4 separate regions of the Mus musculus genome follow, and all the other regions are reported to be linked to region 4. The links are microRNA targets in miRTarBase. Many come from high-throughput screens and were not tested one by one. Region 4 holds a microRNA gene; each other region holds the end of a gene's coding sequence.
Evidence for each region. The annotated mature microRNA mmu-miR-378a-3p reads ACUGGACUUGGAGUCAGAAGG and lies in region 4 at 4,019-4,039, shown strand. An mRNA with a match to its seed (bases 2 to 7 or 8) in the 3' UTR can be bound and repressed. Matches are read on the target gene's strand: a 7mer-m8 pairs with bases 2 to 8, a 7mer-A1 pairs with bases 2 to 7 and ends in A, and an 8mer does both.

Region 1: the mRNA of Ercc6 is a reported target of mmu-miR-378a-3p. Seed matches in the 3' UTR shown: 7mer-m8 at 2,044-2,050.
Region 2: miRTarBase lists Tnfrsf1b as a target of mmu-miR-378a-3p. Seed matches in the 3' UTR shown: 8mer at 4,618-4,625.
Region 3: the mRNA of Dkc1 is a reported target of mmu-miR-378a-3p. Seed matches in the 3' UTR shown: 7mer-m8 at 1,586-1,592.

Annotation. Positions count from the first base shown.
Region 1 is chr14:32,576,043-32,583,161 of GRCm38, forward strand. It overlaps Ercc6 (excision repair cross-complementing rodent repair deficiency, complementation group 6), which reads left to right. Exons shown (of 21, transcript NM_001081221.2): 21 at 644-4,948. The coding sequence ends at 1,060. Among named protein-coding and RNA genes, the nearest start is that of Prrxl1, 20 kb to the right of the region's middle.
Region 2 is chr4:145,209,442-145,216,549 of GRCm38, forward strand. Tnfrsf1b (tumor necrosis factor receptor superfamily, member 1b) reads right to left here. Exons shown (of 10, transcript NM_011610.3): 10 at 2,927-6,659. The coding sequence ends at 6,346. Among named protein-coding and RNA genes, the nearest start is that of Vps13d, 18 kb to the left of the region's middle.
Region 3 is chrX:75,107,906-75,115,024 of GRCm38, forward strand. Dkc1 (dyskeratosis congenita 1, dyskerin) reads left to right here. Exons shown (of 15, transcript NM_001030307.2): 14 at 274-399; 15 at 791-1,871. The coding sequence ends at 856. It overlaps Mpp1 (membrane protein, palmitoylated), which reads right to left. Exons shown (of 12, transcript NM_008621.3): 8 at 6,329-6,409; 9 at 5,681-5,761; 10 at 4,294-4,496; 11 at 4,022-4,096; 12 at 1,828-2,938. The coding sequence ends at 2,762. Among named protein-coding and RNA genes, the nearest start is that of Gm25520, 10 kb to the left of the region's middle.
Region 4 is chr18:61,394,758-61,401,876 of GRCm38, reverse strand. Mir378a (microRNA 378a) reads left to right here and starts at 3,977; the gene lies at 3,977-4,042. Ppargc1b (peroxisome proliferative activated receptor, gamma, coactivator 1 beta) reads left to right here and starts at 1,465. Exons shown (of 12, transcript NM_133249.3): 1 at 1,465-1,587. The coding sequence starts at 1,510. It overlaps Gm52354 (a long non-coding RNA gene), which reads right to left and starts at 2,718. Exons shown (of 2, transcript XR_003952648.1): 1 at 2,685-2,718; 2 at 420-2,389.

The DNA.
Region 1 (7,119 bases), not on the chromosome of region 4:
AATAAATTAATATGCACAGCAACCTATCTGGAGGAAGAGGAGCTGTGTCAGCTTTAGAAACACCATTCTCTAAACTAAATGGCCAGAGAGCCTTCTTGAGTGTTGGGCAAACAGCACTCTGTCTTTCTGACTAAGGATGTGTGAAAGCTCACGCGTGAAGACACCCAGGTTAAGGCTCCAGTTTTAGCTCCATGTGAACTCCTTTGAGAACAGACACTTTCCAGTCTGCCGAGTTCCTGCTTTCAGCAGCAGGAGTCTAAGGTGCTTTCCAGGTTAGGTCTGTTGGTTTAAGGAAGCACATGTGATACAGAGTGGGAAAGGAAGAAGGCTGAGACAGCTGCTCCTTATCCCGTGGCCCAGGCACTGCCTACAGGCACGGTCTCCCTCTGCTCCCTGCTCTCATACTCGGATCCAGGAGACGGCTTCGTTCTCTTCTCCCTGCTTATTTCTTTAGGAGGTGCCCATTATAAATGGGTAGATTCACATCCACATCTCTACCTTGGCCTCGGATGGCGACCATGCCCTCTCCCGCATCTCACCATACACATGGCAGTTCAGTTATCCTGAGGGTCCTCACAGCCTTTGGGGAAGTAGTGGACTAATCTGGAAGTCTGTCTGTTGACGTGTAGTCTTCTTTCTCTAGAACAACATGAAAAAGGAGGGAAAAGCTCACACCCCTGAGCACTTCAGTGGCAAAGAAGATGGAGCATCTGTGTCTGGAGCGCCCAGTTCCTCCTCCCTCTTGGCCAGAATGCGAGCAAGAAACCACATGATTTTGCCGGAGCGCTTAGAGAGTGACAGTGAACATCTTGCTGAGGCTGCTGCCGTGCCTCCCTGCGGCACCGAACACGACGACCTTCTGGTGGACATGAGGAACTTCATTGCTTTCCAGGCCCAGGTGGATGGCCAGGCCAGCACTCAGGAAATCCTGCAGGAGTTTGAGTCCAAGCTGTCCGTGGCACAGTCCTGTGTCTTCCGAGAACTGCTGAGAAATCTGTGCAATTTCCATAGAACTCCTGGTGGGGAAGGGATTTGGAAGCTGAAGCCAGAATACTGCTAACAGTGATGCTCTCTAAACTCTTTCAGATGGAAAGCTTGGCTCCCCGAGCCTGTGATTAGTGTTCGTGGGGTGTGTGTGTGTGTGTGTGTGTGTGTGTGCGCGCGCGCGCGCGCGCGTGTGCATGAGTGACTGTACTTGGTATTTACTATGTCATCTACCTCAAGACTAAAACTTGAAGAAGAAAATAATTGGAGGGTTTTTGTTTTGTTTGTTTGGTGGCACTGTGAATTAAGTTATAAAACCAGGGACCTAACAGTTGTTTAATGGAGCAAATACGTTACTTAACCCAAAAGATGTTGTCAGGGAGCACACAGTATTTAAGAATACATCTCGGTTCTTCTTACTGGTGCTGGGCATATGTCTTCTCTTTATCCACCCCATCTTATAAGTCACTTCACAGTATCCGATAATCTTGGTACCTTGATACAGCATGGGTTTTCTGACCCACTGGTTACATACAGAAAGACACTTGCTATCTGTCAAATCATTAATTACATATAAATAATTCTTCATAGCACTTTTAGATTAGCAGGCTTGGGTTTTGTTGTTTGTTTGTTTGTTTGTTTTAAATGTTGCTGAAGACAGACTCTGGTGCCTTGCACATGCTCAGTATGTGCTTTACCACCAAGTTCCTTCCCAGTTCATACATACGTGTCAAAGTAGGAAGTCTGGTTTTTCTTCTCTGTCATCATTATCTAAAGATGGCGGATGGGGTTTGTTTAAATAGGTCAGTCAGTTCTAAACTTTAGTACTTGGCTCAGAAGGAAGTCACAACACCCGTTCGTTTATTTATTTTTTGTTCCAGTGATCAGCCTACAGGAAATGCTATTGCCCTTGTCCTTAGGCTGACTACCAACCTGACTCACTAACATGAAACATTTGTGCTGTGCCTGTGATGTCTGAGATCTAAGTTATACTGAGCTAGAGAATGTCGTATAGACACTTTTTTTGTTTTTTTTTTTCGAGACAGGGTTTCTCTGTATAGTCCAGGCTGTCCTGGAACTCACTTTGTAGACCAGGCTGGCCTCAAACTCAGAAATCCGCCTGCCTCTGCCTCCCGAGTGCTGGGACTAAAGGCGTGCGCCACCACGCCCGGCTGTATAGACAGTCTTTAACTGTCGAAAGTTACCTACCACGCGGTCAGGAAGGGATCCGTGTTCCACCTCTGCCACTGACCTGCCCAGCCTGGGAAGGTTGAATCTGTAAACATGGTTATCCAGCCAAGCTGGGAGAAGCTTAGAGACCAGTTCTCCAGGTTAAAGTACTTTTTAACAATACACACCTTTATACATTGAGCTGCAATCTGATTTCTTTGAACTTTAAATACTTTGTGCGGTATAAATAGATTTAATGTATTAAACATATTAAATAATTACAAATAAAAGATTTAAAAATACTGGTTTTTCCTGTATTGTCACTGTTAGAAATCCTTCAAGCACTCCTGCCTCCCTATCCTGTGCATTCCAGAGCTCTGTGCAGTTGCCCAGGCATTGGCATGGCTCCTGGCATGGGTTACTCCTCCTCTGTGTTTCCCCTGGACTCATGACTGCCCAGCTGAAAATTGTTTCTCAGCCTCCCTGCAGGTGTGGCCCCATGACAGTTCCAGGCAGTGAGATGGAAGACTTCTAGCTTGAAGCTTACACAGAGGCATGGTGTGCATGCCCCTGAAAGTTCCCTGGCTTGCTGGTCAGGATGTCTGTGAGAGCCTCAGGCGTCTCCTGGCATTTCAGGAGAGGGTGGATGGTCTACTAGTCAAGAACAGCTATCTTTGACCAGATACTTTGGAGTGAAATAAATGAAGTGTTATTTAATACTGTTTTAACATCTAATTGGTGTAATGTATGTAACACACTAATGCTGTAAGTTTCCTGTGTATCTCACGTTCGCACTATGCAGGTCTTTTCACTTATGTACCTCTGCTTTCGCTGACCTGCTGATCTCCAAACCCATCACAGGCTCACTTTCCTCAGGCTTGCCCACAGCAACTAGTTTCCATCTTGGTACATTGTTTTAAAATTAGTCTTGTTTCATAAAATAACCTTACTTTAATTTGAATTTCCCTGATTTAACACCAGACAGAATACCATATTCACCTAGTTTCCTCAGTATAAATGAAAGACAGTTATGAAAGAGGCAAGAACAAAAAGCCATTCTGGGCTAGTCCATCATCCGCCACCACTCCAAATGCCAGCTTCGACTCATCGTAGTGCACTGCAAGGCTGACGTCAGACCCCGTGTCTGTCTGTTCCCTCACACTCTGCACGCTGACGTTTGTCACCTGTGGGAAAGTCCATTTTCCTTTTTATCTCGTCCTCTGTGTCTTATTTTTGTGCATTTCCTGTTCCAAGCAAATGATAGAATTAGCTTATTAGATTCCACTGAAGTGTTGCTCTTTTGGCCGGGATTGCATTAGTTTGCCCATTAATTGGAAGATAATAGACTTCTTTATAATTAATATAATTTTCCCATTAGTATTATGAGAGGCCTAATTTTATTGCTTGGGTAACATTCCTCATAAGGGTTCAGTTTTATATTAGCTTCGTTCTAGATGTTTTACAGAATTTTTGTTTAGGATTTTAAAGGATCTTTTACTTTCACATAAAAAAAAAAGTGGAGATGCTTGACTCATTCCTGTGTCACCTCTGTGTTGCTTATCACTGGAAGCGTTTACATTCAAAGCTGCTACATTCAGTTTTTTAATATCCTATGGTCATGATGCAATCTTGTGAATGGCCTTGTTAGTTACAATGTGGTTTGGATGGGAAGTGTCCCACCTGTAGACTCACGTCTTTGAACATGTGGTTCCTAGCTCATGATGCCCTTTTGGACCTCCTGATGGCTGCTATGACAGACTGTGTCACCTGTAATGTGAGCCAAAAATGAACCCTTCTTTCCTTAGGTTCTTTTGTCTGGGTATTTTGTCAGCAATAAGGTAAATGACTAAATGTAATTATACAGAAATAGATATTTTCCTAACATTTGAAAACTGTAGATCATTCTCTCCTTCCTGATTTATACATTTATAAAGCCACCAATCCACCATTATGTCCCATGTCCATATAATCATGGAAATGTGCCTGAACTCTATATTTTGTTAACTTTGTCCATTCATCTTTACCAATAAACCATTTTTAATCATGTAGGTTTCTAATTGACTGTCAAAAATTGTAGAGCAACTCTTGGATCTTTGTTATATCTTGGATATATTAGATCATCTTGTCACATTGGGATTTTGTGACTACAATGAATGAGCAGACTTGTTGAGGATTATTTATGATGCTGGGTCCCGTGCATCTCTGAATAAGCCATAGCTATGTATTTTTATTACATGTTTATAAAGAAATAATTGTGCTATATCTCGCATTTTGTAATAGACAACTTACGTATGCATAGATAGAAAATGTGTATCATGCAAGCAATTCTATCAAATCTTGGTGAGAACAGTGAGTCTGATGTACAACTTACGCTTAGTCCCAACCTTGATTTTGTACCTGTAGTAAAGGACACCTTCTGAAAACCCACGTGTTCTCATTTATACAGGCTCGTCTCCTGCTTCTCTCTACGTTGGCTTTGCTAACTGATGTTATATGTATCATCTAGCAACTTTGCTGAACTTGCACTCTGATCTGTAAATTGTCCTATAATACTTGGATCAGCTGTAATAGTAACGATTGTGTTTCACGTGTTCCAATATGCACACGCTCTGATACGGAGTAGAAATGATTACAGGTGGCATAGTACTTCGCCATCTCTCTTTCCTGCCATCGAGGAGAAGCTCTAACACCTACAGTTGCTGTTTCCTAATAGATGGCTTAGTTGGGTTAAGGGAATATTCTTTCCAGTTTTAAATCCACTGCTGGATTTCATTAAATGTTTCTCCTGCTTTTATCGACAGTTTTCCTCTTTAATACCCTTCCCTAGTTTGGTGAAGTACACAGTCAAATCTTTCAACATCAAAACTTCTCTTAAGCTTCTACCAGTTTGCAGGTGAGGCAGGGATGATGTACAGATTCATTAGCCAAAAGTCAACACTGACGGGAAACCGGAAGAGAAGTCCCTCCCAAACAAAGCCACGTGTCTTTGGAAACTGTCTTTAAAGCGTATAGAAATTGCGTACCGTGCAAGCAGTTCTGTCAAGTCTTGGTGAGAACAGCGAGTCTGGTGTGAAGCACGGTCCCTTTGTCTTTCCCCGTCCTCAGTGTTAGGACAGACCAGGAGGAGTTACCAGGGTCATGCGGCCCCGTCTGTACACAGAGCATATTCCACATGAAAACCAGTGCCCAAGAATCCATTACTAGGGAGAAGAAAGACTTGCCAGTGACCAAAGAATGAAGTGGGAGTTTTCCTCAGCTCCAGGGGTGGAAGGGTTACAGATCCACAGCAGAAATGGAGAGAGAAGGGCTATAAAGGAGAGCAATGAGAAACAGGTTGGGAGGCTCCAGGAACCTTGCTGCTGCTTTAATTTCCTAGTCTGATGTTTGTGGTCATGGGAGCTGGTGGGTGTCTTTAGCCTTAAAGTGGGAAAAGAGAGACAAGGCAAATTTAGGTCAAAGAAGCTCTGTTAGAGCTTTAGATAAAACAGTTCTCAGTGATTTACACCCAGAGCTGAAAAGAGGACAGATACAGTATGAAGACAAATACTGGGGTTCTTGTTTTGGTTCATCTGTCACTCACCTGCAAGCCCAGGAGTAAGGTGTTTTCAACAGCAAAGGCAGCCTTCAAGATCTGGATAGAAACTTAGGCAAACATCAGAGGAGATACCTACTGCAAAGTTAGTTGGAGACTAGCAATGTTGCAAACCAGTGTGAGACCTTGGCTCCCAAAGTTAGCAATGTTTGTCAGCTAAGTTGGTGAAACTATACAGTTTGTTTATTTTTCCCTTGATAATACAGTCCAGGTGGGTAGAACAAGCAAGCAGGCTTTCCCTTTAGCCCCTGTTGGGCTAAGTTCTCTCTGGGAGGTGTGGGCTCCTCACATTTCTCATCGTTTCTAGCTTCAGGTTGTAGGGAGAAAAGTTCAGAAATGAAAGAATATTTAAAGTTCCCATAAGAGCTGGGCAATGGTAGCACACACCTGGAGTCCCTCCCAGGACTTAGGCAGTAGAAGCAATGGAATCAGGAGTTCAAGCTCACCTGTTTCTTCCCCTCTGCTTTCTTCTCCTTTCTTCCTCTCCCCTGCCCACTCCCCTGAGTCTTGGAGGCTGTCACAGGCACATGACTCCACACCAGACTGTTTTCCACCTAGACATTTCAGTGCTGTCTAACAAGACAGTCTCCCAGACAGCCACAGATAGCAAACAAGCACATAGCCTCCCGAGGCAGCTCTCGCATGAGATGCGGGCCACGGCGAGCTTCCCCTGGCTATCTGGATGCCATCTACAGCTGCTCTGCTGTCTGCCCAGAGTCACAGCACCATGTTTGGTCACTCGTCTGCTGACATCTGTGGCTAAGACAGCACCCACCGCCCTGACCCTTTGTGCCCACCATGGATGAGGCTGTACTGGGCGTCCTTGCTATCAGGGTGAACTGACCTGGCATGGTGCCTTCAACGCAGTGTCCATCTGTCTCTGAAATGTTGATGCCCCCGTTGAGCCCTGTGTATAATGGGCGGACTCCTCAGGGCTCTTTCACCATCAGCCATTCTTGTCCCCTCTGAGCTTAGTGGGTGACACGTGGGGAAACGTTTTGAAAAATCCCTCATCAGACTTTAACCTTCATTGATACTTTCTCCTAAATCCATTATGGCCATGGTGCATGCCATAATGTACCACATAATGGGAGTCACAGGCTCCTTTGACTCTCTCATTCACCATGCCTTGGCATTTACTGGAAGGGATAGCCGGCTCTATTATTTATTTCCTGGCAACAGAATGGATTCATAACATCTTTATTTTTGGTAGATTATAATCCATTTGGTGTTGTTTTTTATTTTGAGGTTCAGAGAGACCCAATTGTGGCCAGGGCTGCTTTGAGCTGGCTCTTGTGGTCTTTGACATGCCCCCATGGTTTTGGCCACTTCCTTCCCTCCTGGCACTGGCTTCTTGTATACGTTCCTGCCTT
Region 2 (7,108 bases), not on the chromosome of region 4:
CCTGCATGTATGTGGACAGCACACACACAGTGCCCTTGGAGACCAGAAGAGGGTGGCATATCCCCTGGAACCTGAGTAACAGGTGGCTATGAGTCACCACACATGTTCACGGGGTGGAATATATTACCAATAAGAGGTGACTTTAGCTACTGGCAGTGGACATACCTCTGGCAGGAACATGAACCTTTTTGAGAAGGAGCCCAGCCCAGGATGCTTCCAGCACTTTTGCTTGTCTTGCTTTCTTTTCCGTTGCTCTGATAAAATATCCTGACAAAATAATGAAGGGGGGGGGGGAATGCTGCACAATAGCATCAGATTTTCAGGAACTGGAGTTACAGATGATTCTGAGCCACCATGTGGGTATCAAATTTCGAACCCCAGTGCTCTGGAAAAACAGCCGTGCTCCTAAGGGATGAAGTAACTCTCAAGTCCCGCCCCCTACCAAGTGCTTCTTTTAAATGGAGTCCCTCTACTAGAATAGGTAGCTTGCTGTGAGGTGTACTTTAAAAATGCTCTGGGCTAGATTCACAAGGCACACTGAGCAGGCTGTGGGGTCATGTTCCTCACTAGCTGTGCGGTTCACGAGCTTTGACTCCCTTGGGATGACTGAGCTAGCCTGTCTAGCTACTCTGTGATCCTGAGGATGAGACTGTGTCTCAAAAATCATATCAATGATTGAGTCATAATTTCTTTTCCCTTTCTCTCTCTCTTTCTCTCTTCCTCTCTTTCTCTCTCTCTTTCTCTCTTTCTTTCTTTCCTCCCCCCCCCCCAAGAATGTAGACAAGTGCTCTGCAATCAAGCTACACCCACACTCTTGGTTTTTCAATGCTCAGTGCCAGAGTTTCAACAAAGAATTCATGAAGTTCTGAGTATGGTGGCACATGCCTTTTATGGCAGCCCTTTGGAGGCTGAAGCATTCAGATCTCTGAGTTTGAGGCCAACCTTGTGTACTTAGTGAGTTTCAGGCCAACCCAGATTACATAGTGAGACCCTGTCTTTTTGTTTTGTTTTGTTGTTTTTTTTTTTTTTTTTTTTTTTTTTTTTTTTTTTTTTTTGAGACAGGGTTTCTCTGTATTGTCCTGGCTGTCCTGGAACTCACTTCGTAGACCAGGCTGGCCTTGAACTCAGAAATCCACCTGCCTCTGCCTCCCGAGTGCTGGGATTAAAGGCATGAGCCACCACGCCCGCCCTAAGTGAGAGCCTGTCTTAACCCCCAACCCCAACAAAAAAGTTCATGAGCTTTTTTTTTCTTTTTGCATAATATCTGCAAATCAAAGGAAATGAGAGGTTCTGCAGTTAACTTTCACAGTCAAACTTGACTGTTCAGAGCAGCCGTGAAAGGAAACTTCTAGGGTTTTTAACAGAGAAGGGAAGTCTCACCCTCTAAGGCAGTGGTTTTTGTTTTGTTTTGTTTTGTTTTTTGTTTTTTGGGTTTTGGGACAGGGTTTCTCTGTGTAGTCCTGGCTGTCCTGGAATTCACTCTGTAGACCAGGCTGGACTTGAACTCAGAAATTCGCCTGCCTCTGCCTCCCAAGTGCTGGGATTAAAGGCATGTGCCACCATGCCTGGCAAGGCAGTGATTCTTAACTTTTCTAATGCCACAGCCCTTTATGTGACACCCCTCCCCCAGCCCTAAAATTATTTTGTTGCTACTTTATAACTGTAATGTTGCTACCATTATGAATCATGATGTAAACATCTGATATGCAGGACAACTCATATTAGACTCCTAAGGGGGTCGAGACCCACAGGTTGAGAACTACTGCTCTAAGCCCTAGGGTCACAGACTAAACAAAATGGAAAAAAAAAAGTAAGCTGAGCAGGATTTGCCCCTCTGCTTCCTGACTCCGGATGTGTTGTGGCCAGCCACCTGCTGCCTGTCTTCCCCTCCATGATGGCCTGGACTCTCAAACTAGGGGCTGAAAAGCCAACACCAAAGCCAAAACCAAAACCTAAAATGCTTTCTTCCTTAGGTTGCTTTTGTTGTGTATTTCCTCATTGTAAAGAGGAAAGTAACTAAGGCAACACTTAAATATCTGTGAGTCCGGCTTTAATACAATGTTGCAATGTTCTAAAACAAAGCTTACACTAACTCTCAGATGATCTATAAAAGGTCTCCTCAAAAGAACAATGCTAGCCGGGCAGTGGTGGCACATGCCTTTAATCCCAGCACTTAGCGGGCAGAGGCAGGAGGATTTCTGAGTCTGAGGCCAGCCTGGTCTACGGAGTGAGCTCCAGGACAGCCACGGCTACACAGAGAAACCCTGTCTCAAAAAACCAAAACAAAACCAAAACAAAAAAAAAGACCAAACAGAACAACAACAACAAAACCAATGTTAGTGTTGTCTTTTTCTTCTTCTTCTTCTTCTTCTTTTCTCCTTCTCTCTTCCTCCTCCTCCTTTCAGAGGCAAGTTCTCAGGTACCCCGAGCTGTCTCTGAACTGGCCTGTAACCAAGGATGACTGACTTTCGATTGTTTTGCCTCTGCCTCCTAGTGCTGGAATTACAGGCTACCCAGTAAATGCAGTGGTGGGGATTGAACCCACTGCCTTGGGCATGCTAGACAAACACTTTACCAAAAGAGCTCCAGTTTGAGCCAAGGATACTACATATTTTTTTTAAATAAATTAATTATGTTTATTATGTATGTGTGTTGAGTGTATGAGTGAAGGTCAGTCAGCTCTGTCCTTCCATCATGTGGGACATGAGACCAAACAAAGGCTGCCAACCTCAACAGAAAGGCCCTTTATCCTCCAAGCCTGCTCTCTGGCCTCAAGAATGCTATATGTATTTGAAGTCAGGGACTCACTATGTAGTCTTGGCTGGCCTGGAACTCACTGTGAGACAAGTCTGGCCTCTAAACCACCGAGATCCAGCTGCCTCTGCTTTCTAAGTGCTGGGATTGAAGACGTTTACCACACCTGGCAGAGTGCTAAATTTTTTTAATTTTTTTAAAAAAAAGTTTATTATAGCTAGAGAGAGGGCTCAGCAGTTAAGGGCACTTGCTGCTCTTTCAGAAAACCCAACTTTGGTTCCCAATACCCATTTGGCACAATTGTCTGTAATCCCAGATTTAGGGAATTCAGCACCCTTCACACACACACACACACACACACACACACACACACACACACACACACACACACACGGAAAAAGAAATTAATCTTTTTTTAAAATGCTATTACCTATTTCTACTATCTTTTGGGGCAGTGGTTCTCAACCTTCCTAACGCTATGACCTTTTAATACTCTTTCTCATGTTTTGGTGACCCAACAATAAAATTATTTCACTGCACTGGGCATGTTGGCACACACATTTAATCCCAGCATTCAGAAGGCAGAGGCAGGCAGATCTTTAAGTTCAAGGCCAGCCTAGTCTGTACAAAGTGAGCTACACAGATAAACCCTGCCTCAAAAAAAAATTATTTTGTTGCTACCCCATAACTGTAATTTTGCTTCTGTTATAAGTTTAATGTAAATATCTGATATGGGATACCCAAGAGGTCATACCCACAGGTTGGGAACTGCTGCTTTGGAGTCTTGAACTCTATAAGTATTCTTTAGTAAATAGAGCATTGTCAAAGCAACGAGCAGAGCTCCTCAAGGCAACAGGATCATGCTGTCTGCTCAGGAACCATGTTAAGAAATCACAGGTGAAAAGTGAAGTTCGGGGTTGGGCAGCTGATTGCGTTTGCCTAGCATTCACGAGGCCCCTGGGTTCAAGCCCCAGCACCACACAAATCATAGGATGGACAGACTTGTCATCCCAATACTTGGGAAGTAGAGGCAAGAGGATACAAAAGTCAAGGTCATCCTTTGGCAAGGTGGTTGTCAGTCTTAGATGGAAAAATAAGATTCGAAAACATAATGTAACGCCAAGGGTCCTGACACGGTTGCACATGCCTATAACTCAGCACTCTCGAAACTGAGGCAGGAGAATATCCAAGTTCAAGGTGCCTGGAGGATGCAGCCAGACTGGGTATACAGCAAAACTCCATGTATGAACAAACAGATAAGCAAAAATAATGATTAAAAGATAAAATCAATTTATTTAAAAAAATTTATTACATTTATGGTATGTGAGTGTGTGTGCAAGAATGTGATGTGTGCACATATGCAGAAGCATGTATGGGGTGGTGGTCAGAGGACAACTTGCAGGAATCAGGTCTCTTCTACCTTATGGTCAGGGATCCAACTCAGGTCATCAGGTTTGTCCGCAAACTGCCTTACCCACTGAGCCATCTTGCCAGTTCAAAACTAACTTATTAAATAGGAAGGGGGAGCCCTTGGAGAGATGTCTTAGTGGATAAAATGCAGGTATACAAGTGTGAGGACCAGAATTCAGATCTCTAGTATTCATGTAAATGTCGGGCAGGTATGGCAGCCTGCCTGTAACCTGAGCACTCCATAGGCAGACAGAGATCCCTGAAGCAAGTTAGACTAGAAAATGTGCAAGCTCTGGGTACAGATGAGAGCCCTGCCTCAGTAACTGAGAGTGATCAAACACACCCAAAGCCAACCTCTGGCCTCCACACACTGGCACACACATACATGCAAACATGGACACACACACACACACACACACACACACACACACACACACACTGAAGGAGGGAGATTCTGGACTGCCCATCCTTTAGGAATGTGTTATAGGTCAGCACTCAAATTGTTCCCTGCTCCCCCTCCTCTGATTGCAGAGCCCTAAGCTGGTCTAAGCTAGTACAGCCATTGTTCACATCCACGGTGTGGGCTTCCGAGATGACAGAACCCGTCTCCTTCCCACAACACAATGAGGAGGCCAGACTCAGAGCAGGAGATAGGGGCAAGCCTGGAGTCTACTTGGCTGGGTGTTTCCTCAGCATCCACAGGCTACAAGTGGGAGACAGCCAGGTTCTCTGCAAGAGTGGCTGTAAAGGTGGGATGGGAGGTGGGGTGGGGTGGCTCAGCCAGGGCTCAGTGTACAAAACAACAACAAAAAGCATTTATAAGCAGGAATTCTGTCCAGCACACAGTGCAATTGCTCCTTAGCACACCCTTTAGGGATCCACACAAGCACAGGAGCTGAGGCCACACCCAGGAACAGTCCTTTCCAATTCATTCTTTTGTTGCCTAGGAGGCCCGAGGTCATCCCAGGACGGGCCACCAGGGGGCAGACGTGTTCCTTCCCCTCTACAGTCTGATGCTGCAGAGCCTTAACAAGTCGGCCCCAAGTGTCCAGTATCTTGATTCCAGAGTGCTGAGCTCTTTAAGTCTCCATGGCAACAACTAGGCTCCTCTGCCAAGTTCATATCCAGTGGAATCGGTGAGCATGGCATCCAAGCACCTGAGACTGAACTTGCTTCTTGAGGAGTCTCCTGAACCCTTTCCTTCCAGGCATGCTAGGGGAGCAGGTTGATTAGAAAACCGGCATGAATCCTTTGGCAAAAGAGCTGGCTTCAGCTGTTTCCGGGTGGGCCTTTCAACCGATGTCATCAGCTGTTCCAACTCACAGTGCCTAACCCGGACATGCACTTGGGGTCACAGCAAGTACAGTACCAAGCCGTTGGGGAGTTAGAGGGAGTGCTCCAGGCTGAGGTAGGAAGAGACAGGTGGCTGCAGGGGCCTGGGAACTCTACAGTCCCTGAGATTCCCTGAAGGAAGGCGTGGCCTTGGAAGGGCTCATTAGAAGGTCAGGAGGAGGAGCTCCAGCCCTCTGTGTGCCCACCAGAGTAAAAGTCAAAGGCAGAGGCTGCAAACCACACAGGGGGCTGGCTGTGCTGTCTGCTGTCTGCTGTCTACTTACGTTTTGCATGTGTTGCTGAGGATCAAACCCAGGGCATGCTAAAAGCACACTGGACCACTGAGTTACAGCCCTACCATCCTATAACAGAGCAACTCTGCCTGATGGGGCCTCTGATTCTTGCATCAAAAGAATTTCGGTGGGCTTGGAGAGGGTACTTCCTAAGAGTTTAGCACTAACCTGAAGGGCCTCTGTGCCCTACCAGGCCACCACTTGCTCCTACTTGCTGGAACCGCCCTGCAGTGTCAGCATTCAGGCTGAAGAGCTGTGCTATTCATGGAAGAGGATGTTAGCTCCTTAGAAGGAAAAAATACTGGGGCCTCTCAGAAGCAAGAATCAGGCAAGAGCCCAGGAGATCCAGAGGGGTCATGGAAGAGCAACAACTTCCTGGGACTGCCCCCATAAAACACCATGGCAGTTTTTGACCACTCTAGCTGTCTCAGCCCTCACTTGACCTGCAACTGGGGCTCTGGAAGCCACTAAGGGAAATGGATCCAGCAAAAGTCATGAAGTTCCATGGGTTCAGGGTCTCGGGGGTCCCTTTGCAGGGTGTTACCCCTGTCAGGGGTCAGGCCACTTTGACTGCAATCTGATCAAACCAGCCAGCTTGGCTGGGCTTCATGCCCATATCCGGCACACCAAGGGGCAAGGGCTTCTCATGGCTCTGCAGTGTCTCTGTAGTCTCACACGGGGACTGAGACGGACACTCCTCCTGAGAGAAGGGGACCTGCTCATCCTTTGGGGACGCTGAGGGCTTGGCATCTGGGTCTCCCACTGTGGCGCTGGCTTGGGAAGAGCACTGAGAACTGTGGTCAGAGCTGCTACAGACGTTCACGATGCAGGTGACGTTGACGTGGGTCCCGTGGCTTCCGTGGGAAGAATCTGTGAAGCACAGGATGGGAGGGTGAGTCTGGGGATCTTGGAGACAGGGTGTCTTTGCAGTTTGCCTCTTGTCCCAGGGGCAGGTTAGAGCAATAGGCCAAGGGCCAAGAGGCTAAAGACCCTAGCTCACCTCTACTACGATGGCAGATGCATCACCCTTACATGCCTGTGTGCTCACTTCCCAGCTGCCCAGCCCAACGCTCCCTGCTGTTGACCGGAGACAATTTTCTAAAGCAGACAAAAGTACTCCAAGAAGAACAAAACATTGGGCTGAGGATATGGCTCAGTTAGTAAGGACTTTGTCTTGCAAGCTTAAGGACCTAAATTCAACCCCTGAGACCCCATGTAAGGAGGCTGGGCATGGCGGCACACACTTGTAATCTCAGTACTTGGGAGGCAGAGAAAGGGAGATTTCTGGGTCTTTTCAGGCCAACCAACTAAGTCTAACT
Region 3 (7,119 bases), not on the chromosome of region 4:
ATGGGTGGAACTTGCAAGTTGTCAAAGAGCACCTTAAGTCTTGGAGTTGGCTCACTGAGACAATTTCTCAGGGTCTTTTATACGCAACGCTGCTTTGGCACATTCATCATGCCCCATGGCTTACTATATTTTTTATTTAGTGAGATACTGTCTTCAAATCTTTAGAAAATCAGACACTATTCAAGTTTATAGACACAAAACCATTGAATATACGTGGAATCTTTCTTGGTAACTTCCTACATTTCTAACTTCATGTGAATTTTTTTTACACAGAGGAAGCGGGATAGTGAGAGTGAAAGTGATGAGACCCCAACAGTTCCCCAGTTGAAGGAAAAGAAGAAGAAGAAGGATAAGAAGCCCAAAACTGTGCTAGAAAGTGGGGGCGAAACTGGAGATGGGGTATGTGTGAACCATGGGTGTGCCTTTGTGTCAGCTGAGTCTTTGACAGGAATTGTGCGAGAGTGGGGTTCCTACCATTGCCTTTTTTGGTGCTGCCCTGTGTTCTAGATTTGCCTTGTCTACCTTCTTGGACACAGAAGTAGGGGCACCCAGCCTTTCAGAACAGTGGATCATGGTTGAATTATGTTGCTGCTGGGTAGGGAAGGTGTATTAAGTAGATCTCTCTAAGACTTCACCGAGAAGGTCACAGGCAAAATTTGTTTAACCCCAAATGTCTTAGATTTTTGAACAGACTTGACTGTGCAATTTGTCAGATTTCTTTTGGGAACAGTAGTCATAAATGTTTTGTCAGTGGGTACATTGAACTTACTTTTACTTTCTCTTTCTTTAGGACAACGACACCACCAAAAAGAAAAAGAAGAAGAAAGTAAAAGTGGTAGAAGAGATGTCTGAATAGTTTAAGCCACTTCTGGAAGCATTATGTCCAGCTGGGAAGAAAAAGAAAAGCCTTATTGGAAAAACTTTTTGTTGAGGGAGAACAGAGGTCCCAGAGTAGAAAGTTCTGGTATACTTTTAGCTGCCACTTGTGACCTCAGTGGTTAGCTGGTGTGGCCATCTCATCCCATCCTGTCCTGTTTTAAGGATATGAGAGATAAAATCAGGCCTTTGCCACCAACCCCTCTGCTTGCTTGAGGAAGCCACACCTTTAGACATGGCATGGCCTAGTAACTATCTGCAGCTATTTACTAATGAGCATTTTCAACAATGCCATAGATAGTCCTCTCCTACTTTGCTTTTTAAAAAGTTGGTAAAAATTAAATCTGCTACATAAAATGGTATAGAACCTTCTGTGAGAGAAAAAATGTAATTGAACTATGTTCACTGGGGGACTCTTATCTCCAGTGTTCTATGAGGACTGCTCTATTCAGGTATTAACCTTGCCTGGTGGTATCTATGATATTTAGGCTAGTACTCTGTATTTTTGTGTACAACAGGATTTCTCTATATGGCTACTTGTGTTTCTTATGGAAGCCAAAGCATTCCTGTACCTTCCTATTTGTTTTCTTTTAAAGAATGGAATTGCCGGGCGTGGTGGCGCATGCCTTTAATCCCAGCACTTGGGAGGCAGAGGCAGGTGGATTTCTGAGTTCAAAGCCAGCCTGGTCTACAGAGTGAGTTCCAGGACAGTCCAGGCTATACAGAGAAACCCTGTCTCGAAAAAAAAAAAACCAAAAAAACAAAAAACAAAACAAAAAAACCAAAAAACAAAAAAAACAAAAAAAAAAACAAAAAAACAAAAAAAGAAAAAAAAAAGAATGGAATTGTTCAGAATGGAATTGTTCATTGCTGAAGAATGTAATTTGTAGTTTTTTTTTTTTTAAAAAGTATTCCTGTTAGATTTACTATGATAATCTTGGACTGGCAACAAAAGTGAGAGAATATTTTTATTAAAAGTCTGAGGTTTATGTCCTATTTTGAATTTGCTTTTCCTTTGGCTACTTTTAAATTTCCTAATTCTGAGTCTTTCTTACATTGGCACTGGGGCCTATCTGCTCTCAAGGGAGATCATTACTAATCCAGGGTTAAGAGGAAAGGGGTAGATGCATTTATATTGTACTGGGCTTGTGAAGAGGTTGGAGGTACTCCAGGTAGGAAACTGCCAGTTTTGGTGTTGACTGCAGAGGGAGCAGGGAACTTTGCTTAAATATGTGCCCAAAACCAAGAATATAAACACAAGTTTTAGGGGAAATTGTTAATAGCATAGGCAGGTATAGAATGCCCAAACAGCCCCTGCTTTTGTAACATGTTTTAAACCATTCTCTTACGACTTAACAAGTCCTAGAGAAGACGCCTTTGTGCATTGTGAATACCAGACCTATAGAGGCAGTGACAGGTAATTCCCAGAGATCTTATGTTAATGTCATTGCTTGGAAGGTTAAGATTGGGAATGGAGTTACAGGGTCACGGGTACTTTAACACAGCAGCATTTTTATTGCTTTGGAAGATTTTCCCTACAGCAGACATTCTATTGCACAGCTGTTTGATTTTGGCATTTTAGAAAGTTTTCAGAAGATATTTATTCCAGAGTAAAAAGACATTCTATAGTTGAAAGCAAAGGAGCTCAGGCTTCAGGGGGACAGTTGGTTTATCTATGTAGCATTGCATTTGGTTATTCTTATGGCAATTTTCCAGAGATCATTTTGAAATGTAGATAGTAGGAAAGCTTCACCCCTTTAGGAGCCTGAGTAAGAAAACAGCAGAGCTAAAAGTTGAAGCAACCCTTTTGGCTTAAGCAAGGGAGGGGGTGCGGGGAGGTGGCATTCCAAATGCTGGCTGAAACATGTTTGCCAATTCTGTAAGCTTAGTAAACCCAGGAGACAGGCACCCACTGTGGAGAACTGCAAGCCTGGTCAAAGGCTTCTTGCAATTTCTTAAGAGTTTCATCAACACTATTATTCACCAAAGAGAGGTCAAAGTAATGAGCATACTGACTACGGATGGCCTCAGAGTCCTTCTGCAGCTGCTGCAGGGCTTCAGTCTGCAAAGAAGAAAGCCATAGATGAAGCAGCAGTCTTTAATCACAGCAGCAAAGGGAAGATTTAAACAAGTTTACATTAACTGGTTCCCCATCTGTTTTTTTGCATGGTGGTGATCCATCCTGTGGCCTAGTATCTGCTAGGTAACCAATTAAGAATATAATGTTTGCCAAAGGGGTTGAGAACCACTTAACTATTCTAATGAATGCCAAACTAACCCTAATTACCTAGCACAGCCTTCACTAGCATTCACTTAGTTTTAGCCCTTTGTTTATGGAAAAGCCATTTTAGCAACTACTACAGCTATAATCCAAGGATAAGGGAGAAAGTTTATTGACAAGTCTCAAGCCTCTGGCTCCAATGGTCAGTTAACTACATAAAGGCAAAAGGATAGAGAAATATGTGTCATAGTGGTGGTGGGGATATTTGTAACTTTCATTACAGGGAAGTACCATAATATAGAATTCTTAGATGAAGTCACTAACTCAATGGAAACATGAGCTAAGGATATGGCCAGATATACAAGCAATACAAATAACTTTTAATAAGTGTGTGTGGCAGTCTTATTGACTCGACTGCCTTTGAACTCCAGACTGGCCTTGAGCTCCTGATCCTCTTCCTTTCACCTCCCAATTGCAGTGATTGACTCTCAATAGTAAGAAACAATCTTTTATAGTAAAACAAAGTGAAAATGCCATTCTTCTAAAATGTTAACCAATTCTTTTAAAAATGTTATGAATGATGTTAAAGAGGAAACAGCCACTTTTACAAGCAGGCTCCTTTCCCACTGTAGCCACACTGCACCCTGTGATGGATCTAGTACCACCTCCATCCTTCACAGCTCCTTCTGTTTGCTTCACATCAGTATATATCATATAAGAAATAGGATTTATTTAACTGTCCGTCTCAGCCATTAGAACTGTTCATTCAGGACTATGACTAGAATTGAATTATTTAATAACTAATCTCTTGAATAACTCTGGAATGAATAAAATATGCATGCCCTTTGTCTTCTTGGCCTTGGAAAAAACAGTTGACAATGACCTAAAAGGTGTGGACCTCCACCCATGTGACCCCTTTCCCACCTGAGTGCCCTGGTCAGTAGGTGCGATGAACACAATGAAAGGTGAAAGCTCAGCTGTCCGAACAGTCTTTAGGGTCTAGGAAAAGGGAAGAAAAGGAGAAACAAACAACCCAGTTGTCTGTCAGAATGTATTCCTTCTAATAAGTGTTAAATCCCAATACCAATTTGTATCATGCTGACCCCACTAAAACTTTAGGAAGCAAGATTTCCAGGAGCTCACGTCCCTCATTACATGGCTGAAACCATTGTTCCTGCCCTTTTATGCCTACATACCTGGGGCTCAATGTCAAGGATGGCAATCTTGTCCTGCTTATGAATCTGGTGCACTGTTTCAAATTTGGTGCCAAACATGTTGCCCTGATAGCTGCCAAACTCCAAGAACTCATTGGCAGAGATGTTCTTCGTCATCTCCTCTGTTGAGATGAAATGATACTCCTTCCCATCTTCCTCACTCTTCTTTGGTGGCCGTGTTGTATCTGTGTATAAGAACTCAAATCCTTGATGAGCTCTTCTTGGTCCTTGCTATCTTTTAGTGTACTGACTCAAAATGTCTATATGGAAACTCTACCCATCTTTGGGGCAGATAATATAATAGAGATGTTTTTCTCATGAACTGAAGGATTGGTACTGGAAGGTAGTACAGATACAATACCCCCACCTACCCATCTCTCCAGCACTGTTTTGTTTTTATGACATGGAAAGAACACAATGGTTTTGTTTAAACATTTTGTTAAAAAGTTAAAATGTTGGGGCTGGCAATTTTTCAGCATTTGCCACAGAAGGCTCATAACCTGAGAACCTGAAACCATGTGGTGGAAGGAAAGGACTGACTCCTATAAATTGTATTCTGACTTCCATACACATGCTATAAAATGAGTGCACACACACACATGCTGTGGCATGAGTACACACACTGCATAATAATACTGTATAATAATACTGAGTAATAAATAATTCTTTAAAAAAGTTAAAATGTTAAGAGTAACACTCTAGTGCAGAGATAAATTATATATTCCCAGCCTCTTTTTATCCTATGATGAACCATCTTTACCTTCCACGCCAGACACTTGTCTCTAAAATGACTTCTTTCCCTCAACTTGCACATTGAAAACCCTGGCAAGGGTGTGTGTGTGTGTGTGTGTGTGTGTGTGTGTGTGTGTGGGTGTGTGCCAGTGCCATGATGTGCATATGAAAGTCAGGGGTCAACCAGTGGGAGTCAGTTCTACTACCATGTGGTTCTGAGGGTTAAATTCATATTGTTAGGGTTAGCAGCCATCTCCTCAGCCCTATAAGTATATATTACATTTCCAAATATTTTGTGTTTTATGTGTGATTTTTCCTTCCTTCCCCCTCTCCCTTTCCCTTTCCTTCTCCCTCCTACTCCCTCTTTCTCTCCCTCCCTCCCTCCCTCCCTTCCTCCCTCCCTCCCTTCCTTTGCTCTTCAATGTGGATTCCAAAGACTGAAATCAGGACGTCATACTTTCCGAGAACTTTACTGACAGAGTTATCTCCCCAACCCCCCAAATTTTCAGTTTTCATGATTAAATATATGAAATAAAATAACAAGAACAAAAACATGTGACATTTCAGAAAAACACTGATTCTAAATTTTGTAACAGGACATTTCTGCCTGACCCTTAGGCTCCTGAGAAATACTTACATGGGGCAGGGTACGCAAACTTCTCTGGATTGTGACTGAGCAGACCATTCTTAATATGGCTACGACCCACCCCACTGGCTCCTGTGTGAGGATAAAGAAAGGCTTCCATCACTTTCACTCAGAAACACTGCTGGGGATAAGACAAGGAATGGGAGGTGGATTTCTATATCCCAGTGCTCAAACAGTTCGGTGTTGTAACAAGGCTGCAACTGAGTCATTACAATTGTCAAGATTTGGGGTCACCAAATAGCTTCAATTCCGTAGTATCCATTTGAGTGGGAAGTCATTCTAAGGCCTAAGAGTTAAGATATGGAACATAATTGCTATTTCTTCAGAGGAATTAGCTACTGGGGAGTTTTCTTTTTATTCCCTAAGCCATCCAAACAGGTAGACAAAGAGCAAACTTAATATAAAAGAATTATGTGCTAAAAACAGTAGAAAACCGTGTAGTATGAAGTGGATCCAGATAGATTACTTGTAGGATCCAGAAGTTCTTTATAACTGCTATGTGAGGTATCTAAGAGACCACACTACATATCTTCCTTACTGCCTTTCCTGAAGAAGGGTAGACATATAACATGGGATTGGAAATAAAGACAGAATTGTGCTCTTGAATTAGCAAATTGGTGAGGAGCAGTAAAAAGATACCGATCAACACCAAGGTCTTCCTCTTGAATGCAGGGAGCCGAACAACTTCCTCATAGGAAACAACATCCAACTGGTCAAAAACTAGAGACAAAGAAAATCAAATCATTAATTTTCAGAGGTGGGGTGATAAAGCACTGGCTGGGGTTAAGGAGTTGACACACTTGATCCAGCAAGAAGGGAAGGTTGGGTGTGGTGGTACATGCCTATAATCCAAGGTCTGAGGCCCTGTCTACAAAAAAGTAAATAAAATGCAGGGAGAGAGACCATGGACATGAAATCAGAGGGGGGTTGCTGGGAGGGATGTTTAGATATTTCTATGTGATGAAGAATGATATATAAGAAAGTAAAGCAGAAAGTACTTCCCATAAAAATTCCGAGGAAAGGACTGACATGACCCCATTTTAATTCTGAATGAACTATCTAGAACGTTAGGTGAGAAAAAAAAAAAAAACTGCAGGGGCTAGAGTTTAAGCAGTGAGACTGGACACACCAAACTCTAGCTCAATTCCATGACTATGCCGTGAAAAACAATTCCAAGCGGAATCCAAACTTACTGAGGAATAATGTTTTGCTCATTAAATATGCTAGCAAAATGGCTGTAGCAGCTGGAGGAGGTGCTGATAAACTGAAGAACAGGATGTGAGAGCAGGCTCACTCTGTATTACATATGCATGTGGTTCTTTTAGGTCTATGATTTGGTTTTCTCAGCATCCCCCATCTGAACTTTTTACATGGCTCTGTAGGCTAGTCCATAGGATTCTGATTTTATATGCTTTTTTTTATAACTCTAT
Region 4 (7,119 bases):
GCGGTTCTGGGAACCTCAGACTGGAGAAGAAGGAAGCTGTTGCCTAGTGGCTCAAGTCTGAGCAGGTGTGCTGGGACTGCTTCCTCTTCTCTCTGGAAGGAGCCTGCTCGCCCAGGCAGGGTGGGGCAGCCCTTGTCAGTACCTTGTGGGAGCAGGGCGGGAGGCAGGTGTGCCCATTAAATAGGTCTGCGTCTTCCTGCCTTCCAGTCTTTATCCAGCCCCAGTACATCCCCCGCCCCCGTGCACACACCTAGATGCCTGCCTGGCAAACGGAGAAGAGATGAGAGTTCAAGGTTGAAGTCAGAAGGTTTGCTTCCTGGCCGCGGTTCAGGACTCTCCTGGTCTGCACTCCTGACCTTCAGCTCCCTCATCTGTGTAGAGTGATGGTGGTGGCGGCGGGGAGGCGAAACCGTCCAGCCTTTTCAGTTAACACACTGTTTATTAACTACCTCTGGTAAACTGGAGAAATAGCCAAAGCAAGATTTAAGCCTGGTTCCATGCGTCTTAGACTCTAGCAAGGACAGAGTGACTCAGATGGAGTCTTCCTCTAAGCCAAGGTACAAGGGAGGCTGAGACACTTCTAAGGAAAGGGTAGCGCATAGGCTTGAGGTAGGAGAGCAACACATGGGTTGGTACTTACAAGGTTGGTGGGTAAGGATGCCCTAAAGATACCATTTTTTTTGGTGGATGGCTGATTGGTGTAGCAGCCCCTTTTCAGAAGGTTCATAATAAGAAAAGGGAGGCCAATGGGCCCGAGAGGCTGACAGAAGCTTAGCCAATTCTAAACACTGGGGTACAGTAAAAGACATGATTGAATTTTTTTTCAACGGTGGCTATTGAGTAAGCCCGGGGGAGAGAGATGGCTTAACAGGAAATGAGGATAAAAATGCTACAAAGAAAACATATGACTGTCACCCCCTCTGAGGAGCCTTCTCTGATTTCTCCGCCTTTGACCTGTGCGTGTCTCCCTCCCTCTCTGGCCTTGCTGTCTGGGGAGAGAGAGAGAGAGAGAACTGAGGTCTCCGCAGCTTTCTCTTTTGCTGTTGCAGAGCACTGCGGCTTTAAAAGCGGCTCTAAGCCTCCCGGAGCCTCAGTTTCCCCAGCTGTGTAGAAGCAGGTTGTCTGGCAAGGGCCCGCCCAGCGCTAACGCAACGTGATTCGCTCTAACAGTAAGGAGGGGGTGCCCGCATTGCTGCGCAGGCACCCGGCTGCTGGCCCGGGCACCGCCACCTGGCTGCCGGAGCTTTTTTTTTTTCCCCTGCGGGGGGCTGCGAGACCTGGTCCCTGCGCTAGACTAGGAGCAGGAAAAGCCGGGGGTGCGACCCCAGGCTCGCGCGGCCCCGCCCCCGCAGCCAGCCCGCCTGCCGCAGCCGGGGGCCCGAGCTCCGCCCTCCACCCGCCCGCCGGGCAGCCTCCTCCCTCCTCCTCGCTCGCTTGCTCGCTCGCTCGCTCCCTCCCCCGGGCGGGCTCGGCGCTGACTCCGCCGCACGCTGCAGCCGCGGCTGGAAGATGGCGGGGAACGACTGCGGCGCGCTGCTGGATGAAGAGCTCTCGTCCTTCTTCCTCAACTATCTCTCTGACACGCAGGTACTGCCAGCAGGGAACGCAGGCCGGGGACGTGGGTGCAGAACCGCGGGGCTGCAGCCGCAGCTGCAGAGGGAACGAGCGCAGCGGTGGGCGCACCGGGGTGATCGGGGGGTTCAGGCTGCAGAGCCCCCCCTTCCACGTGCCTTGTGCTGCGCTCCGTTACAGGCGTAGCGAGCTGCAGGTCGCCGGCGCATGCTGTAGCATTGGGGGACACAGCCAGGGCCACCTAGAGTCTACTGTCCCCCACTGGCAAAGTTGAGGGGTACTACAATTCCTCCCGCAGGTAGAATCCAGCCAGGGTCGGGGGATCCCTAAAGGCTGGCTCTGGGTGTTGTAGGCGCGTCCTCGGCGCCTGGCACTTGCTGCCGTACTTTCACGTGCACTTGTGGCGGGGCTAAGGGAGGCGATCGGTAGCCCTGGAGTCCCCTGGTTCTCCAGCATCGGGTACCCCATAGCCCCCCACCTGCTCCGGCAGCGCAGAGTTTCCTGTCAGTTGCTGGCTAGGGGAATAGGGGTCGGCAGGGCACGTGGACATGCGGGCGGAGATTGCGTCTTCCAGCTCTCACTAACCGGAGGAGACCCGTTAGGAGCGAGGAAGGCAGGATCCGGGCGGAAGGACTATCTAGGGGGTGCCTGGGTCCCCCTGCGGCGCGCGTTCCCGGCGCGCGCTCCACGATGCAGGGGGAAGGGAAGGTGAGGCGGCGTCCCGGGCTCTGGCTAAGGCTGGGAGCCACACCGGCTACAAGCGCATGACAGGAGTGTGTGCTCTGGTGTTCGGGAGCGAGGACGAGGAAGCTGTGGGCTTGGAGAATAAAATGGGGTTTGCTGCTAGGACAAGCAGTTGCGGGAACATGTGTGCACGCAGCGTGGGGGCCCTCACCTCTTCCTCCGTTTCCCCCTCTAGCCCGTGCCTGTTGCAAGCCTAAAGTTTGGCTCCCGAGTTAGGGCTTTTGCTCCCAGCTCCTGTCTGTGTGTCTCCCCAGAGGCTGGGGGTGCGACGGAGCCTGGGAGGAGACCCCGGATGCGGGGACACGCCTGGGTCCGGAGAGGGGCTGCAAGGCGGAAACCCGTGGGACTCGCGGGGACAAGCTGAGTACCTGGTGTGGAAGCGTTTGTGCCGGCCCGTTTTGCATAACACTGGGAGGGAGGGGAAGGCGGAGGGGGGGGGCGGGAGGTGGGAGGAGAGAGGGAAACTTTGCTTCTGGTTAGAATCTACCAGTCTTTGGGCGGTAGCAGCTGTCATGGGACCGGGTGGGCGGGGAGAGGCTTGCAAGCTGACTCCTTGCGGTGAGACGCGACTTGGAGGGGGGACGCAGCGGCCGAGAGACGTTCTGCTCCGGGAAACCTCCCGGTGGCGAATTGAAGCTGGCGACTAGGACAGGCGTCGTTGCGGGGGTGTCGCCGAGAGGAAGCCCGCCACGCGCGGGAGACGGCGGGCCATAGCTCTCTGCAAACGCCGTGGCGTCCCGGAGCCGCGGGGGCCGCGTGGTGTGTGGCTGGCGCGCTCTCGGGTGGGTTCATAGCAGAGGCCCAAGGGGATGGTGGCGGGTGATCGCGCTTCTTCAGGTCGGGAGGCGGTGTTAATGAGCGGGCTGTGCGCGGGTGTGTGTGTGTGTGTGTGTGTGTGTGTGTGTGTCCCCTGAGCCTGTGCACACGCCGCGCGCGCCGGGCGCGTACCTTTACCTCTGACGAAACTGCAGTGGAGCGCCGGGCAGCGTCGCCGGGCACGGTCACACGCCCGGTGTTTATGTCTGCCCAAGGCGGGCCTTAGCACCCCGGGGGTGGACAGCGTGGAACCAGGGCTGGAGGTGGTAGGGGCATGGGGGTCCGGGAGAAGACCTGCACCCCAGATCTCGATTGCCTGGAGTCGTGTCCATATCTCTACACTTAAGAACCGAGTAGCCCAAAATAGCCAGTGAGACTCCTTCACACATACCAAGATTGTCTGCTCTGGACAGGACCCTCGACTTTAACTCTAGCTTTTGGTGTTTGGCTCACCGATAATTAATTAACTGTTTGCCCTTTTAGCCACCAGCCTATCCCACTCAGTAGGGTAATTTCCTAGCTTCACCAAAGGAATCTGGAAAATTGGGTAATCAGTTGTCAGCAGAAGCAGTGCAGTGAAAGTTAATTTGGGACGTTTGTTCCCCCCCACCCCACCCCCTTTTAACTTAATCACGTGATAGGCCGAAGATCTCCGGGTGATCTTTGCCGGGCCAACTTGGGAAATGTAATTGATACCAGGAGCTTTGCAGCCGCCCCTAGAAGGCTCAGAGCTGAGCGGGAATGGGCGGGGCAGCCCGCCGCCTCATTTTACAGTTGGGGAAGAGGCTGCGAGGGGTGAACTGCTTGTCCACGACCACTCAGCCAGGGGGTGACAGAGCCACCCAGGGCTCCTGACTCCAGGTCCTGTGTGTTACCTCGAAATAGCACTGGACTTGGAGTCAGAAGGCCTGAGTGGAGTCACCTTCCCCGCTCTCTGGCTGGGTGATCCTGGAGCAAGCCATTTTAACTCTCCAGCCGTGTTTCTCCATCTGTCCAATGGGGCCGGTGTGGTGCTGACGGAGAAGCCAGAGGCCTGCTGGTGGGGGTGAGCCTGTGTTTGCATGTGAGCTGTCTGGCTGTCCAGCTTCTTCCCCACAGCCCTTCCCAGACCCTCCCCTCCCCCCAGCTCTCCCCCTCGGGAGGGTTGGGGAAAGTGGATTGTCTCTGTTCCCCCAAAGAGTTCTTCTTGTCTTTGGTGGCTAACCCAGGCTTAGATTATAGAGATCTGTTTGAGAGACTTAACGTTTATTCGTTGGGGCCAAAGTAGCCATTTATCAGAACCAGGCTTGTGGAAGCGTTTTGGAAATGTTTGAAGATTGGGTTCCAAAGACTCTGTGCTGACTTCGCTTTTGTTCCAGCTGTACCCCTTGCTTAGTGGGCCTTTGCCTACCATCCCGCATGGCTTTCTCCCTTAGTAGGCCTTCCTGCCAGCTTGCCCTGCTCTCTCTTCTGCCTTTCATAGTTCGTTATAAAGCCAAGCACTTTATGTGTTTGAGTCTATCCAGTAGGATCCAAGTTGAGTCTTTTATCTTTGTGTGCCCACATGGCACCTGTCACCATGCTGAGCAATGCCCCTTTGCCTGGCTCTTGATGAGGTACATGGACTACAAATAGGGGTACAGCTGAGCCTTGCCAGACAAGCTCATGGGCTGACAGAGAAGACAGCTGGGTAGTGAACATGGGAGAGGGGGCATTGTCGAGGGCTACAGCTGCTAGCAAAAGCCTTGACTCCAAAGGCCATGCAGGAAGCCCAGCAAATAAAGGAATTATTTGAAGTCACTTGAGAGCCTGGAAGAACTGTGACAGTGTCAGAGACGACAAGGACATTATAAATCAGCAAGTCCAACCCTTATTTAAAAATAATTTTAACAGTGTTAGAAAACACTGCTAAGTGTCATGAAAAGGGAGTCATGTTTTATATTTTACATTTGTCTAAATTAGCTAATTTTGTATGTGTGTTTGCATGTGTGTGCTCTGGCATGTGTGTGGAGGTCAGAGGACGACGCCATGAGGTGCAGAACTTTGTTCTCTTCCACAAAATGGGACATGGAGATTGAACTCAGGTGGTCAGCCTTTGCCTGCTGAGGCCTCTCACCAGTCCAGAAATATGTAATATTATCCAAAGATAGCTGCTTTAAAGTCTATGTATCTCTAGATGTTTTTTTTCTTTCCTATTCATATAGACCAGTTATTTTGGGGGGTGGGGGGAGAAGAAAATGATAAATGAAGTTATTCTGTTATACTAATTTGTATCTTGCAAGCACACTGTTTTGTAACTTGCTTTTTTTTTTTCTCCTCCTCACAATATGCTGTGAACATCTTTCCTCATCAATAAATATTGTGCCTAATATCTTAATGGCTGTATAGTATTTCATGGGACGTTGAGCCAACATGTGTCAATCAATCCTCTGCTGTCGCTTGGTTGCTTGCGTTTATCCTACTGTGAGCAACGCCGAAACAAATATATTTGTGTACATGTGTTCTTTCCTTCATTTATATTCCTAGAAGGGAAATTGCTCTGTCAAAGGAACCACGCAGGCATTTGGTAAACACATAAGGAAATCGTCTTCTAGAGAGATTGCATTCATTTACACACTCATCAGCATTGTGTGGAAACGCCTGGCTGGCCATACCCCAGTTATTCATGCCATTTGTATTCTACGAATTTGGTCAACAATATACTTTGTTACTCTTGCCGTTCATGTGCGTTTCTTTGATGTTCAGTGGCTGCCCCCTTGCATGGCTCCAGGGACTTAACCTGACTAGGGCAGTGAGGGAATGAAGAGGGACACATGGAGACACAGAAATGACTGGGATCCGCTGGATGGGGCTCTCTGATGGAGAAACTCTCAGATGCTCAGAGTGTATTATATACTGTGGTATAGTGAGGTGGCATTTATTGCATACAGCCGAATTAAGGAGGTGGGATTTATGGTCTGTTTCTGTATCAAGGGGCCAGGTTTAGCTACCTTTGGTAGGAGCCATCTTCCTTGGGGAACAGTCTTCAGACTGTAGTATCTAAGGGAAGACGACTAAGGGTGGACGTTTTCTGGCCTCATTGTCAACATTCACACTTGGACCCCCAGGAAGGCTTTGCCATGCTTCAGAGCCCCCCACTGATGGGGGTGGAGCGGTGCAGGGTGCTTTGCCATTTTCCTATGGGTCTGAGTTGTAACCATGCCAACACCCTCTGCACCCCATGCTCAATCCCTTCCCATGGACAATCACTCCCTGCTGGTTCCGTACAGTACCATGGTCCTACTTGGCAGATGGATCTTTGGGTTCTACTTGGCAGATGGATCTTTGTTAAGAGGGACCTGAGCACACTGAGGGGTCCTGGGCACAGGGAGGACTGGAGAAACGACTTGAAGTCCCAGTGCTCCTTGATGGGTCTGGTATAATTCAACCTCCACTGCCACTGAAGCCAGGGCCAGCTGCTGTCCAAGTCAGAGTTGCAGCTGTGTGGAGGCAGATGCATTTGCCCACCTTTGGCCTGCATGGACTGGGAGCAGGGTAACTTCTTCATCTGAGTACATCTGGGGGCATGCTCCCCAGAGGCCCGAGCCCCACTTTCTTTGGACCCTCTGGCTGATGCTGGTGGGTAAGCATGGCTAAGAAATCCAGCCTAGCAGTTGGGCACCTGGGGCTCGTGTTTCCCCCTGGCCTTGGGGCCTCCTCTCTCCAACTGGTGCCGGTCAGCCAGGAACTACACTACACTAGGCTATGAGTCACCCTTTTCCTTCCCTCTCATTTAGATGGAGCACTGGCTTGAGCCAGAAGCCGCCCCGCAGATGGGGCCTCAGGCTTGGAAGTGAGGTCATGACAAGAGCATTGCAGTGCTAACAGCTGTCTTCCCTTCCTAAGCAGCAGCATTTATAGAGTGCCCTCCTGGTCACATGGTCTTTGCCGAGCCATCAGTTGGCACCATTACAGTTCTTCCTCACAAAGATCCGTATGACCTAGGTATTGTTTTACAGTCCTAAAGGT